2 linked regions of the Rattus norvegicus genome follow. The protein of the gene in region 2 interacts with the protein of the main gene of each other region in a pairwise test. Links are inferred from orthologs where the notes say so. Each region holds a gene or a part of one and is shown on either strand. Other genes may lie near its edges.

Region 1 (7,877 bases), on a different chromosome or scaffold from region 2:
AGAAAGAAAGATGGAGGAAAGGTAAACAGTGTTCAGGCTTCAGCTTTTGCCAGGGGAAGGCTTCGGGTCATCGAGACCCCAAGGTATTGCCAGGTGCACAAATCTGGATTCCGTGGCAGGCAGGCAAAGTGATCGCTCTGGTAGCCCTTCTCAGAGCCCATGAGGATCTGATCTGTCCACAAGCAATGACTGTCACTCTCCAGTTTGCAAGGGATGGCTGAACAGGGAAACACCTACAAGAGAGGAGAAAGGCCCATCTCTGAGGACTTCTCTTTCCCTTTGTTCTCTTCCCTGCATAGAGTCTTTCACACACTCTCTCTGGCAACAGGGAGCTGCTGGGAAGGGTTGATGTTGCCCCACTTGTGCTTAGACCCAAGATGTTCTCCCATGTGGGGAACAGAAAGCCAATGTTCTGCAATGGTAGTTATGGAACTGTCACTTGAAGTCACTCAGGCAGACCTCCTGAGGAACTGTCCCACAGGGCAGAGAAGTAATAGTATGGGAACAGTTGGCATGCAGGGAGAGCAAGCATAAGAAAAGGCAGCAGGGTGCTGGAGAGATGGCTCAGTGGTTAAGAGCTGTGACTGTGCTCTTCAATAGGTCCTGAGTTCAATTCCCAGGAACCACATGGTGGCTCACAACCATCTGGAATGGGATCTGATGCCCTATTTCAAGCATCAGAAGACAGCTACAATGGACTCATAGACATTAAATGAATAATATTTTAAAAAAGAAAAAAAAAAGAAAAGGCAACAGAGCTCTCAGACAATGAGGGGTGTGGGGAGTTAGTCAGAGGATATTTGGTGCCACCAGGGAACAGTTTTGAAACAGTCAGATGGCTGACATGTCCAGGTGGATTTGGAGAATAGTACTTTGAATCTTTGCAGATTATGCCTGGGAAGCAAAATCCAATCTAGGGAGGTCAGAAACAGACAGTGGTGTCCCGGAATAGTCACAAAGGAAAGTTAGACAGTGAAGGTTCAGGGAACAGGCAGTCCCAAGATAACAGAACAACCAGAATTTCCAAAAGAGCAGTCCCAGGCTGGAACAATGGCAAGAGAAATCAAAGATAGTGAGTGGGTTTGGGAAGCAGCTTCAATGGCATATAATAGTCAGAGGGAAAAAGAAACCATTCCAAGACTTATCTCCAGGAGGAAAACTGGATCCAGGCACTTACTGTGCACACCCCACAGCCAGCACTATAGGTCTTTACGAAGGCCTTTTGCTGAGCAGGGCTCAGATTATGCCAGGGAACCAGGAAGCTGCAGGCAGTGATGTGCAAATTTCCGTTCCTTAAACGGCCTGTAAGAGAGGCAAGAAACCAACAGGCTTTTGATTGGCTGGGTGGTATCAGAGTGGTCACCTAATTAGCATTAAGTTACAGACCCTCCCACTCCCATTTCAACCAGGCCCTTTCTCATTAGAGCCTAGCTCCTCCCAGTTGCCAGAAAACATCTAAGGATGAAGGAATGTGGCCCAAGGCGAAGGGGCGGAGCCTCACCCGCGATGAGAAACTCCTCGCTGCGGTTCTGGGACTTGTGGACATATCCACAGAGGCTCTCCATGGCTGGGGTGTAGGCGAACCGGAAACCTGTGGCATTTCCCACAGCGTCGAATCCTTTGAGCATCTGCCCATGAGTGACAAAAACTGTATCATTTACTGACATAATCCTCCCACTCCACTCTCTTTCCTGATGGCAATATGTCTAAACACAAGTTTACAGAAAACATCCACACCAACGAAAGGCTAGTTGCTTCTATTTTGAGTGGGAGGAAGAGGTTAGGTAACTGCTATGAGGGGAGGGAGTAGAAATACCTTAGTCATCTTGATCTCATAACGCTGGTATAAGGTGGTCTCGATGATTTCTGGGGAACCCATGAATTTAGCCCTTATAACTAGAGGAAAAGAAGGGGAAAATAAGGATTCAAATGGGCAGGCAGCATGAACCCATAGCAGCAAAACATATACAACATAGTTCAAATAGACAGCACACTTGATGGCTTCCACATCAGTTGATTCATCTAAATATTGTCTATTCTTTTAAGCACTGTTTTAAGCCCTTTTCATATATCCATTTGTTGGCTTACTCAACAAATGTTTTGGAGTGCCTGATGTATGCCAACCACTGTTCAGGGTCTTAGGGAAAGGACAATGACCCAAACACAGGAATCTATTTCCTTATGAAGCTCACATTCAAGTCAGGAGGAAACAGACTAACATTATGTAGCCAGAAATGGTGGCACAGGCCTGTAACCCCAGTTCTGTCAGAGCTTGATGGAGGATCGCTTTAGTATGAGTTCAAGACCAGTCTAGACAATTTAGCGAGAACTTGTTTAAAAATAAAAATTCACAAGAAAAGGGTTGGGTTTGTAGCTCAATTGTGCGGTGTTTGCCTAGGTCCTAGGTTCAATCCCCAGTATGGAGGAGGGAGAAAAGGTATGTGGATTGTTAGAAGCTATTAAGTGTGTTGGGAAATTAGAGAGGAAGTTGACAGATATTCTTTGCTTGACCACAATTTATTCAGGCTCATTAACCTTCTTCCAAGCTCATTAGTGAAGTTTCTCTTTCAAATACAGTTGTAGGGAAGTACCTTAAATTAGCTTAGTGAAAACACCAACCCTCATCTTATTCTCCACAGTATGTGATGGGACCACCAGACAAGTTTTCCTCAAGAGTCCTAAACTAGGTGTGGTGGCACAGACCTAACAATCTCAGCACTTGGAAGGCTGAGTGAGAAGAATCAGGGCTTCAAGACCAGCCTGAGTTATATAGTGAGACCTAGTCTCAAAAACAGAGTGAGCTTAAAGTCTATAGAGATGGCTTAATGGTTAAGAGTACTTGCTGCTCTTTGAGTTCCCAAGTTTGGTTCCTAGAATCTACATAGGGTAGCTAACAACCATCCATAACTCCAGCTCCAAGAGATCTGATGCCTTGGGAACTCCACAGGCACCCATACACCACACATGGAACACACACAAACATACACATAAATAAAATAAATCTTTTTAATGGACTTAGCCTGAATCCTCTTGCCTTTGATATTTCTTTTTGTTTAAGATTTATTTTATGTATATGAGTACACTGTGCTGTCTTCAGACATACCAGAAGAGGGCATCAGATCCCATTATAGATGGTTGGTAGGATTTGAACTCAGGACCTCTGGAAGAGTAGTTGGTGCTCTTAACCACTGAGCCATCTCTCCAGCCCACCTTTGATATTTCTTTTCAGTGATTTCCCATTCATCAACATTAAATTGTTCTTTGGCCATAGAGTTCCATTTGCCTATGCAATGTTGAAAGTTAAGCCCAATATCAATATCTATCTAAAATCAATCTCTCTCTTTCTCTCTCTCTCTCTCTGTAAATTCTGATTATCATAGTTCTAAATGAAGTCTGCCTTTCTGTGTCCTAACAAGGGATCAGAAGTACTATGTGGCTGGTATTAAAATTAAAGAAAGTTGGCAGGCACCTCAGTAAGGTGACTTTTGAGAAAGCCATGCATGTGGATAACTACAGAAAAGCATGTACATGGTACTGGGAGCAGCCAGCACAAAGGTGGGCTTAAGCCCAAGGATGTCAGTGTGGCAAAAGCAGATGTACGGAAGGGTAAGTAGAACTGTCCTAGGGACAACTACTGTAATGATCCCTACTAGACTAAGACAGACAGAAAGAGGGACAGACTCACCCAGGTCCGAGTTGCAGAAAGCTGTCTGTGGGTGGGTTGGGGCACAGCTACAGGCTTTACTGGAAGCTATCAATGATAGCAACAAGAGGATGCCAGAGGCCAGAGATGCAAAGGGCGCCATCGTGGTATCTGCTGGTAAAGACTAGGTGTTAGTAGGTTCCCAAACCAATGGCTTACATGGCCGTTGGCTCTAGGGAGACTCAGGAACTCTTTAGGTTAGAGAACACAGTTGGTGAATAAGGGAGCTGAGAACTTTGAGAATTTAACAGAATTGGGGAAATCTGACATTTGTGTAGTGATGAATTTGGAGTTTGGGAAACTGGAGAAGTATAATGGGGAGTTAGGGCTATTAAAATATAATGGGCTGGGAAGTTCAGAGATATTGGGGGATTTAGAATAGGTTTGTGGTTTTAGGGAGCTGGGGAAAATGGGGGGTTAAGGGTCTTGGGGAATTTGGAGGTTTACAGTAATAGGAATACCTCAGGAATTTGAAGGCAGAGGAATTTTTGAAGTTCCAGGAGCTAGACATGGCAAAGAGAACAGGGGTGTTACAGGAGCCGTAAAGATTGAGGGACAATGAAGAAATTTGGGGGAATTAGCAAGTTAGGAAGTTTTAAAGGCATTAAAGGCTTGTGGGTTTGGGGCACTTTGAGATGAATGCTAAGAGCATGAAAGAGTCTGGAGAGTCCCGCTGGGGACAATCATTCAGGACGCTCTCCCTTTATATTCCCCCTTGGCTAACTAGAGATCCTGATACCTGCAAGCCAAGTTGAATGGTTAGTCTGGCAAGGGACTGGATGGGCCTCGTGGCCGCACCAACACAGGCTCCAAGCAAACCCCAGTTCTGCCAGGACACCCGGCTCCCACTTACCTCTAGCGTGTCTCTAGGAGTCCGGATCAGCAGTGATGGAGGCAGGGACTGGCGGTGGAGAATAAATGTCCATGCGAGGGGTGGGGTTGGCGCGGAAATCACTGCCTCCAGGCTTCCTGGACGCATTACTCATCCACCCACTGCTGAAGTCAAAGCCTAGGGGCGGGCCCCAGGCTGAGCCCAAAGTACTCCCTCTTCTGCCAGCCAGCCCACTGCGCCCCCTTCCCCCAGCTCCGTCATGCACATTCCTTCCTGGCGGCCTTGAAGGGAAGAAGGGAAGAATAAAGACCGCTTAAGCCCCTGAAGCCTTGTGCCTCTCCGGTTTCCCACATTCCCCAAACTTCCTATGGCTGAAGCCAATAATTTCTTTCCCACGCCTTTCATCTACTATGTAACAATCTCACAAGAAGGCCTTTCCTGTGGATCTGAAATTCTGGTGAGGGGTGGCAGAGGAGAGACAAACTAGAAAAACAGTTGAGGGACATGACATGGGAGAAGGGGCACAAATACATAGTGGGGAAATTGATAACACTGAGAGTGTCTATGACTTATCCAGGATGGCAGTTGAGTGTGGCAGAACTGGGAGGGAACTGAGGCTGCATACAGACAGAGCCCAGGTAGTGACTTCTTCCCCAAACTTTGCAGTGGCTGCACATACCAGTGAAGATGTTTGAAGATATCCTTGGCTACAAGAGACCCTTAAGGTCTTAAACAGAAACAAGACCAAACAGGCAAATAGCTGAAGTGAAGAACTTTGTTAGGGTCACAGGACAATAAAGATTTAAACCTAGGCTTCCTGACCTGGAATACTAACTCAAGCAGGGTACAATCTTTGACAAGCAGGGAATGGTGTGGTGAGCGTTGCAAGGGGATGGGGGGAGGGAGGGGGTGAATGATGGTAAAAGCTAGTGAGTCAGTAGAAAAACCACCATCCCTACTCCATCCAGTCTTCCCCTTCCCCCACCAACCAGTCCACACCCCTGGTGGGAGTGGGAATGAGGCAACTGCTGCCCACCAGCTTTCTGATGATGCAGGAATATTCCCTGGGGTCCTGTAGAAGGATTCTATGGGCTGATTACCACCCTCAATTAAGATAGGGAGGACAGACCAATAGTAATGACAATGGTTTTAATCCCAGGGGGCAAGCTGATCCAGAAAATTAGAGGGTATCTAGTCTATACAGTGAGTTCCAGGACAGCCAGAGATACATAGGAAGAACCTGTGACAGAGAGAGACAGAGACAGAGAGAATGTGGTAGTGATGATCACAGCTACTTATTGAGTACTTACTGTATATCATTGCCAAGGTCTTTATGTACAATTTACTTTAGCTAATTACATTTTATTAACTTAGGTAGCTTAGTCCAATAACCACAGGACACAAAAACCTCCTGCCAGCACTCAACAGAGTATTCACTGTGTACAATACACTCTTTTAAAGGGTTTGTATTTTACATTGTGTGTGTGTGTGTGTGTGTGTGTGTGTGTGTGTGTGTGTGTGTGTGTACCTGTACTTATGCCATGGCATGCCTGTATTGTTTAGAGGACAACTTTCAGGGGACAGTCCTCCTTCCCTATGGGTTCTGAGGCTCAAACTTACCATGCCACCAGGCATGGTGGCAGCAAGCACCTTTATCTGCTGGGCCAAATTGCCAGCCCAGGAATTTTGTTTGTTTGTTTGTTTGCTATTGTCCTCCTTGTTCCTTAATGTTACTTAATGAAGAGGTGTTAATAACAACAATAATAGTAACCAATACTTTGAAGATTCAGGTTTACTATATGTGTATACTAAGATTTTCTTTTCTCTGAAGTAATTGACTTATTCTTCCCAATGTATCCGTGAGGTATGATTCATACTTTCACTATTTAGTGAGTAAACAGAGACAGAAAGGAGTCAAATGGCCTGTCCAGGAAGGATAGTGAAGAAATTACTGTAGTGGTGGGAGAAGGTACAAAGAAAAGGAGAAAGGGAAGGAAACCAAAATTTTCAACCATCTGATTGTGAAAGTGAGGAGTGAGAATGTGGATGAGACAGGGGGCTGAGTAAATAAGCGGCGGGAATGAGGAGACGTAAGGACAGGGAAAGTCCTGCCTCGCCTCTTCTATGACTCTGCTTATGACGACAGCTCTGTAACTATGAAACCTGAGTCAGCACAGTTTTGCCAACTGTTTATATTGAGGATTCAGATTACTATACAGGTTTGAAATGGAGTGGGGTGAACATCACAGAGGAGTGTTGGGCCTGTGACTATCTACCAAACTGGATAGGTGTAAGTTTCCCAGAGTGATCTGCTGTCATGTGCAAATACCTGATGATATCCACAGAGTATTACATGTTTGATCTTAATTATTCCCTTTGTACAGATCAGGAAACTGAGACCCAGAAAGACAGTAACTACCTGGGATTTTGTATGGCCTTAGGAAGAAGAAAGGCCAAGATAGTAGGCTACAGCTCCCCAAGAAATCCCATGTAACTACCTTTATGCACATGTGACAGGCACACACTTACATGCACCCACAGTGTTCAAGTTCATGAACAGAGGAAGCAAAGCAGGTTTGTGAAAAGGATCCACAAAGCTCAGCAGATAGGAAAAGGTATTCTTGTATTCTTGTGTATGCACAGCTGTGTGTAGTGTATCTGTGCTTCTGGGGGTGGCATATGTCCCTTGGTGTGCTCCATGTTCCTTCCTGAAAGCCAGGTGTGTGCCTGAGTATGCTGCTTCTGAAAGTGGAAGGTTGTTGTAAGTGTAACTATGCCTGTCTCAAGCTTCTCTGTGTGATAAGTAGATGCCTGAGTGGAAGTTTCTCCCTACACACACACACACACACACACACACACACACACACACACACACACACACACACACATATATGGGCATTGTTTCCTTGACCTACTACCTGGATGACACCTTTACAACCATCCCTCTTACTAAAATGATGCAACTCAGTCCTCTGCCTCCCTACGACACCACTCATTTGGGAAATGAGAAAGTAGGAGATTGTAGAGAGAGGGAGAGACCTAAAGGTCAATCAGTCACCCTTAGAGTACGGGGCTTCCTGTGCTTGTTGGGAACTGCCAACCCAGTGCCCCTGTCAGGAGGAGGCAAGGGGCTCTGTATTTGCACATGGGGTATGGTGGGGCTAGAGTTCCCATACCCTTTGCCTAGCCTGGGGCACAGGAAGACTTAACCCATCTTTGCTTAACACATACTTGCCTGAATCCATGCCCAGGAGTATTATCTGTGTATCTGATTTTCTGTGTGTTTGTATTGCAGATATGGGAAAAATACATTGAATGTCTAGAAATTTTTTTCATGGACCT
Region 2 (7,809 bases):
GTGTGGTCAGTGAACTCACCCAAGAGCTGCCCCCATAAACCGGGCTTGAGCTGTCCCGTTTCCTTGGCAGAGGATATCACATGACGTTTCCATACGTGAATATTTACCCCGTTATTCCTTCTCTTATTCATCCCCTGCTCTCTCCCCTCCCACATCGCTAAAAATAATTCTCTGTTTACTTTCATGTCCTTCTAAAAGGCCGTTCCAGAGTCCCCATGTGAGAGAAAACATGTGATGTCTGTCTCTATGACCACAGCGACCTCGGGCTCCGTCCGTTTTCATGCACTTACCTCTCTCTGGGTGTGTGATGTTTGTCTATGTGTGTGAGGTTAGGGGAGGATGTTAGGTGGCCGGCTTTATCATTTTTTTACCTTGTTCCCTTGAGACTGAACTTGGAGCTAGACTGAGGCCAGCAAGTCCCCGTGGTTCTGTCTCTTAACGGTGCGGGACGCTTGTGGAGATATACCTGGTTTTTTAAAATTTAATTTAATTTAATTTATTTTTTTTTTGCTGTTTTGTATTTTGGAATATTTATTTGAATTACTTTTCTTTCTTTCTTTTTTTTTTACAATCCAGCCATTGCCCCCCTCCCTGTCCCCAGTCCCGCAGTTCCTCATCCCATTCCTCCCCCCCACCCCCCATCTCTGAGAGGATGTTCCCCACCACAATTTTATTTTTTTGCTTAATCACTTTACATCCTGCTCACTGGCCCCCTCCTGGTCACCCCTCCCACAATCCTTGCCCTATCCCCTCTCCCCTTCTCTGAGAGGGTGGGGACCCCCCTGGGTATCCTACCACCCACACACCTGATTTTTTTTGTGTGTGTGGGTGCTTGGATCAGAACTCAAGTCCTTATGTTTGTGCAAGTGCTTTTACCTACTGAATGATCTTTCCAGCCCCTAGGATACGTAATTTTAAGACTGTGTGTGTGTGTGTGTGTGTGTGTGTGTGTGTGTGTGTTTTGCCTGCATGTATATATGTGTACTATACGTCTGTCTAATGTCTGAGAAGGCAGAAAATGGCACCATATCCACTGGAACTGAGTTACAGAGGTTATAGGCCACATATGTATTCTGGGAATTGAAGTCAGGTCCTCTGTAAGAGCAAGTGTTCTAAACAACTGAGCCATCTATCTCTCCAGCCCTTTCTTCTCCTCCTCTCCCTCCTCCTCTTCCTTCTCCTCTCCCTCCTCTGCCTCCTCCTCTTCCTCTCCCTCTTCCTCTCCCTCCTCCTTTTGAGACAGGGTCCTAGTGTGTAGCCCAGACTGGCCTGTGAAGTCATGATCATTCTGCTTAGCCTGAGTACAGAAATAAACAGATGCCATCAGGCCAAGGTTCTTCATTCATTTGGTACTGATTTATTATTTGATTATTTACTCATATTTGGAGACAAGGACTCATTCCTTAGATTAGCCTCAAACTCCTTTGGTAGCCAAGGATGATCTTGAATCCTTAAGACGTATGCCTCTACATCATGAGTTCAGGAGTTGTAGTGCCTGGTTTACGAGGTGCTAAAAATACAAGTATGTCTGCATAGTAAGCAAACACTTTACCAACTGAGCTACATCCTCAGCTCGGATAGATAGATTGATTGATTGATTGATTTTGAGATAGGGTGTCACTTTGTAGCCCAGGCTGGCCTTGAACTTGAAATGACTAAGTGACCCCTCCTGCTTTAGTCTCCAAGTGCTAGAATTACAGGTGTTACCCACTGATTTTGTTGTTTTGTTTGGGTTGAGACAAGGTGTCGTTGTGTAGTCCAGGATGGCCTGTAACCTTGCCATCCTGCCTTCACATCCATAGTGCTGGGAACAACAGGCCTCACCACTGTGCCTAGACTTCTTTGTAGTCTGGGAACTGAGCTGGGTCCCTGTTCATGCTGGATGCTCTACCACAGAGCTGCATGCATTTCTAGTTGTCATTTTGAACTATAGTTTCACTAGCACAGGGTATACAGCTTGGTAGAGCGCTTGCCTAGTAGGCACGGAATCCTGGGTTTGATGCCAGAACTGCATGAACCAGATGTGCTTGTGCACACCGGTGATGCCAGCACTTGTGGAGGCAGGATGATCATCAGTTCAAGGTCAGCCTCCGATACACAGGGAGTTTCAGGCCAGCCTGGACTACATAAGACCCTGATTCCAAAGAGATAGGGAGATAGGTGTGTGTGTGTGTGTGTGTGTATGTGTGTGTGTGTGTGTGTGTGTGTGTGTGTGTTGTCTCACTAAACTGTCCAGAATGGCTTTGAATTTCTGATTCTCTTGTGTCGGGAGTGGTGTTAATGGCCGTTAGTCTCTGGAGGCTGAGGCAGGCAGATTTCTGAGTTTGAGGCCAGCCTGATCTACAGATAGAGTCCCAGGACAGCCGGGGCTACACATAAAGCCCTTTCTCAAAAAACAAACAAACAAACAAACAAACAAACAAACAACCAAAAAAGATACCAGCGTACTGGGATTACCTGCGCACCACCAGCTGGCTTTTGTTCCTATGGCTTCTTTGTGTACACTCCTTTCCTTTCAGTTCAGTAAGCAACTCGAGGCAGAAGGAGCTGCTGCGAAAAGGACAAAGTTCAGGCTAGGAGTGTTAACGCTAGTCTTATGAGAATTTTTTTTTTAACAACAGTTCCTTCTGCGAACCACCAGCGGCACAAGGGAGGGAGGTATTTCTAGCCACTGCCTTTACCTGGTTTTGCCATCTCTGATGAAAAGAGGAATAAGGCGAGGAAGTCCATGTTATTGCCTTGCCAGCATTAGCGTCTTTTCTCGCATCTCCACTAACCACTGGTTAATCCAGGAGCAAGGGAACTAAGGCTTTGTTAATCTTTCCCCAGAAGGAGGGCCCAGGCTCTGACGTGTTATAATTGACGCATGAAACGGTTCTAGACAAGGGCTTCCTCCCTCCGGTTTTCTCAGCTCAGGAGTTCTAGAAAATAGAGAAGCTGGGGTCATAAAACCCTAGTCCAGAACGTTGGGAGACTCCTAAGACGTGAAGCTAGGGGCTTTCTGAAAGTGTTTATTCTGACTTCACCCAATGCCACCCAACCCACACCTTCTGCGGGCTCGGGGATTGGGGGCAGGGGCTTGAACAAGGACGGAGAGGGAGGTGCGTGGTTGGTTCTCTGTGGGTTGAGGTCTGCAGAAGAGCATTTTGACACTTTGCCTCAGTTCTGTCTTTGGGCAACTCCCGGCCGCCCTGCGTCCTCTGGGCTCCGGACTCGCCTACTCCCGAACCAGAGAGAACCAGACGGTGCTGGGTTGGAGAGGGCTCCGGGAACCCTGAGGTCCGGCTCCTGGCTCGAGGCTTCCGGGCAGCGGCCACGTGGCCTGTCCAGGCGGGGGGCTCACCTCCCCTGCTAGCCCGGGTGACTCAGGCCGCAGCTGTTCCCGCGTCACATGAGAGAGGGAGGGAGGGAGGGAGGAAGGCGGCCACCCTGCGGGGGTGGGGGCGGCCGGAGCCGGGGCGGGGCCGTGCGGCAGGCGGGGCGCGGGCAGGGGGCACAGGAGACGGCTGCTGAGCCGCGGTAGGAGAGCATCAAGAAGCGTCGGGGAGCGCAGGTGAGGCCCGGGTTAACGCGGGCCCGGGGACTCCGGGGACGCCCGTGGGGACAACTTTGCCTCGAAGTTCGCGGGGCGCCACCCGTGCGGCCCTCGAAGGGAGGCTCGCGCCCGGGGGGCTGGCGAGTGTCCTGGATCGCGGCCTGTAGGGGTCGGGATTCCGCGCTGGGCGGCGACCGGCGGGGGTCCACCCGGAGTCCGGCTGCGCCCTCCGTGCGTCCCGGGATCCCGAGGCACCATTCCCTGGTGCGCGCCCCCACCCCAGTCCGGCCGCGGAGCGGGAGGGCAGGGAGGGCGCGGAGACGTGGATCTGACTGCGGGTTTCTGGGTGGGAGGGCCCCGATGGGGGCCGCGCAGGGAAGGCTGCGAAGGCCGGCGGGGAGCTGCGGATCCGGCGGCCCCTCGGCCTGCTCTAATCCTTGCGCTCTCTTGCGGCCCCAGGCCCAGCAGCCATGGCGGTGGAAGGAGGAATGAAGTGTGTCAAGTTTTTGCTCTACGTTCTCCTACTGGCCTTTTGCGTGAGTAGTGCGGGGAGGGCGACGGGGCGCGCGGGCGGGGTGCCGGTGAGTCTTGGAGCGGGAGCCGTGAGGAACGAGGGACCCAGAAATGAAGGCAGCTGGAGGCCAGATGTGGAAGCAAAGCTGGAGAAAAGGCCAAAGGCAGAATGTGTCCGTGTCCGTCACCCCTCCCCCGCCCCCCCCCCCCCCGCCGCTTTCCTCTGAGGAAAGTTTGGACCGAGAATTGCCACCCTAGATGCGGAGCACCCCTAACCAACCCCCTCCTGGCCCTTCCTGTCTGGTGACCCAACCATTTGTGATATGGGGTGGTGGGGCAACCTGCCAACGGTCTGATGGTATCGCCAAGGGGCTGCCTCCACTCCTCACCCTGTTGATTCATCTCCATTCTCTCAGCCCTCTCATTTACTTGGGAGAAGGAATGGCTCCAACCCTCCTTCATTTGCTCCTGCCTGGAGAAACTGTTGTTTGTTCAGAAAGGGGCCATCTTACCCCCTCTTCTTCCTCCCCGGCCTGGCTGGCCCTAGGACCTGAGTCACTGGAGTGAGGGAGTAGTTCTGGGAGAGACCCGAGCTAGGAGTCAATAGAACAAAACGCACGTCCTGGGCTGAAGAGCTGTTTAGAGGCAGGCATGACACCTCCTGATTCCCTTCTCCTTATGTGTCTCAAACAACTTCCCAGCCTTCCTTGTGGGGCAAGGACGGGCGAACCTTCTCTATAGCCAGTGTTTCCTGGAGGTGTAAGAATCCATTTTCTGGCTGGGGGTCGGGTGTGAGGGCTGAGGACTGAGGAGCTGACCCAACCCTCACCTTTTCCCTCAGGCCTGCGCAGTGGGATTGATTGCCATTGGCGTAGCAGTTCAGGTTGTCTTGAAGCAGGCCATTACCCACGAGACTACTGCTGGCTCGCTGTTGCCTGTGGTCATCATTGCAGTGGGTGCCTTCCTCTTCCTGGTGGCCTTTGTGGGCTGCTGTGGGGCCTGCAAAGAGAACTACTGTCTCATGATTACAGTGAGTGGGGTGTGGGAACTCCTGGGACTACCAGAAGGTATTCTGTGGTGAGGTGGGTGGATGAAGGAATTGACTGGGCCAGAGCAAGCCCTTTAAATCCAGACTTCAGACTCAACTCCTGTCCTGTCCTCCTGCAGTTTGCCATCTTCCTGTCTCTTATCATGCTCGTGGAGGTGGCGGTGGCCATTGCTGGCTATGTGTTTAGAGACCAGGTAAGCAGGGAACAAGAGGAACCTGTCTCAGGATGCTCTGGGAATCTGGGGCCTGAAGTCTGTTCTCAACAACACACTCCTCTACTCTTAGGTGAAGTCAGAGTTTAGTAAGAGCTTCCAGAAGCAGATGCAGAATTACCTTACAGACAACAAAACGGCCACCATTTTGGACAAATTGCAGAAGGAAGTGAGTGGGATGGCTGGGAAGAGGGTGAGGCGGGATGGAAGATTCTCATCTCTGAATTAGAATGGAGGTTCCACAGTTTAGCGACTTTCCCTCCCATCCCTCCTCCGTCAGAATAAATGCTGTGGAGCCTCTAACTACACAGACTGGGAGCGCATCCCCGGTATGGCCAAGGACAGGGTCCCCGATTCTTGCTGCATCAACATCACTGTGGGCTGTGGAAACGATTTCAAGGAATCCACCATCCATACCCAGGTAGGGAGAAGACATCACACGAGGGAAACTTGGGGAATGTTTCAGGAGGCAGGAGATGCTATCAGGATCAGAGTTGGGGATAGGGGTTGGGAGGATAGGAGAAAGGGGCCGAGGGAGGGAAGGAAGGAGGTAGGTAGACGCTTCTGTTAGTAGTCATGCCCGCCTTTTCTCTTCAGGGCTGCGTGGAAACTATAGCGGCATGGCTGAGGAAGAACGTACTGCTGGTGGCTGGAGCAGCCCTGGGCATTGCTTTTGTGGAGGTGAGGAATGCTGTGGGTTGTGGGAGGGCGGGCCTGGATCAGCTCAGGGCATCTGGGGAACAGGAGGCACTCACTGGCCTGGGAACAGTGGCTGTTGAGTGGGTTTGGGGAAACTTGCCCTGTCTTCTTCCCACCCTCATTTCTATCCTTCCTTTCAGGTCCTGGGCATTATCTTCTCCTGCTGTCTGGTGAAGAGTATCCGGAGTGGCTACGAAGTAATGTAGGGTGGGGGCGTGTCTGAGCTCGTCTGTCTTTTCATGGAGTGGACTCTCCAGGTTTTCAATTAAACGGATTATTTTTTCAGACCTAGAGAAGGAGATGGTCTCAGTTTGTCTTAGAGTGATGGATGGCCCCTTCCTTTTCCTTCTCCCTGCCTCTGCCTGAGAATAGGCAGGCATATTTGGGGGGTGGGGTGGGAAAAGGATTATTTATTTGAGGGTGGAAGAGGTGGGGAGTCCGGAGGAGGTTGTGACTGAGTGTCCCTGTGCCCCTCGGTTTGTGTTGCCTTCAAACTGTTTCCGCAGCACCCATGAGGACAGCTCCTGCATGAGTCGCAGGGGAGCTCCACAAAGGTCCTCCTGGGTAGAGCCTGGACAACTCTCTGCTTTGAGGCCCAGTGAAGTCCTCCCTGAGCCCTCAAGGAGAGTGTTTAAGTTGCTTGAGGCCTGTGTGGCAGTGTCCCCGATTTTTGCCTTAGATAACAGGGGAGTTTAGGTATTTCTGTCATGGAAGCCACCCAATACGGCAATTTCCGCCACTTTCCCTTCTATCCCCAAGAAAATTAGACAATGGTGTTCCTGGTGCAAACACAATTCTTACTACTCTGCCGAGAAAGTGCCCTCTGGTGGCCATCTCTCCAAGTGCAGCTCCAAAAAGCATGTGTAGTTGCAAGGTAGCTCCTCACAGCACCCAGTGTACAGTAGAAGCTTTGCAGGCATTAAAGAGGCCGGTGGGTTTGCTTCCTCCGCTGCTTAGGGATCTCAGGTACTCAAGTCTTGTCAGGCCCCACGGGCACCTTCATTTCTGTACGCCTGCTTTTCGATTTAAAGCGATATACGTATTTATTTACTGAGAGCCTAGTTTGTGTCAGAAGCCAGCCAGCGCGGATAGAGACAGAAGGAGATGCCTTGTCCTCCGAAACCAGCCTCTTGCTGTAAAGCTGGAGTCAGTAGATTGACTGGGCAGGCCGGGGAAGGACCCAGGCGAGCACAGCATCCACCACCCTGGCTGGAAGGTAGGAGGCAGGCAGCCAGAGAAGCTTGGCATCCCAGCCTGGGCTGTACCGTGTTCGGGGATGGCGGGCAGTCAGGGCATGCTCCAGGCAGCTTGTCACCTTCGTTAGGTCTGGGTCACAGATTAGGTTCATGATGCGGCGCTGCACTTGAAGATCTGTAGCTTGGAAGATGCCGTAGTCAGCGTTCATGCTCACACTGCCTCTCCTCCATCCCATGCTAGATCCTTGGGCTGGTTGCCAGGATCAGGAAGTGACTGCCTGCCCTTTTCCTCCCTTCCAGGTCTGACCTTTCTGACCCTCTTTTTCCCATCACGCACCCAATATGGGTCCAGCTACTCACAAGTAGTGAGGAAGGCTTCTCCGTAGTGGGCCTGTGTAGCTGGAGGTAGCCGGGCCCAACAAGCCTTCAGGGTGTTCTCCAGACTCTCCAGGTTGGTCACTGGGGTTCGGAAGAAGCCAGGCTCCACAATGGAGACTTGTACTCCAAATGGAGCCATGTCCCGCCTGGAGGGTGGGCAGAGAGGTTCCTGTGTTTTTTTTTTTTTTTTTTTTTTTTTTGGTTCTTTTTTTTTCGGAGCTGGGGACC

Evidence for each region.
Region 1: the proteins of Cd63 (region 2) and Timp1 interact in binary tests that used the Homo sapiens proteins (3 or more experiments, as listed by UniProt). The link is inferred for Rattus norvegicus from reciprocal best matches to the Homo sapiens genes CD63 and TIMP1.

The regions. Positions count from the first base shown.
Region 1 is NC_086039.1:3,766,543-3,774,419, forward strand, and holds the start of Timp1 (metalloproteinase inhibitor 1 precursor), read right to left. Parts: upstream 4,581-7,877; 5' UTR 4,557-4,580; intron 4,207-4,556; exon of another isoform or gene 4,165-4,206; intron 3,818-4,164; 5' UTR 3,807-3,817; coding exon 3,686-3,806; intron 1,897-3,685; coding exon 1,817-1,896; intron 1,629-1,816; coding exon 1,502-1,628; intron 1,303-1,501; coding exon 1,178-1,302; intron 234-1,177; coding exon 33-233; 3' UTR 1-32. UniProt on the Homo sapiens protein: Metalloproteinase inhibitor that functions by forming one to one complexes with target metalloproteinases, such as collagenases, and irreversibly inactivates them by binding to their catalytic zinc cofactor.
Region 2 is NC_086025.1:1,918,640-1,926,448, forward strand, and holds Cd63 (CD63 antigen), read left to right. Parts: upstream 1-3,504; 5' UTR 3,505-3,553; exon of another isoform or gene 3,554-3,994; coding exon of another isoform or gene 3,995-4,005; coding exon 4,006-4,071; exon of another isoform or gene 4,072-4,889; coding exon 4,890-5,078; exon of another isoform or gene 5,079-5,215; coding exon 5,216-5,290; exon of another isoform or gene 5,291-5,381; coding exon 5,382-5,477; exon of another isoform or gene 5,478-5,588; coding exon 5,589-5,729; exon of another isoform or gene 5,730-5,905; coding exon 5,906-5,989; coding exon of another isoform or gene 5,990-6,147; coding exon 6,148-6,213; 3' UTR 6,214-6,296; downstream 6,297-7,809. Other genes in the region: Rdh5 (retinol dehydrogenase 5 precursor), read right to left, coding at 7,155-7,378, 7,564-7,727. UniProt on the Homo sapiens protein: Functions as a cell surface receptor for TIMP1 and plays a role in the activation of cellular signaling cascades. Plays a role in the activation of ITGB1 and integrin signaling, leading to the activation of AKT, FAK/PTK2 and MAP kinases.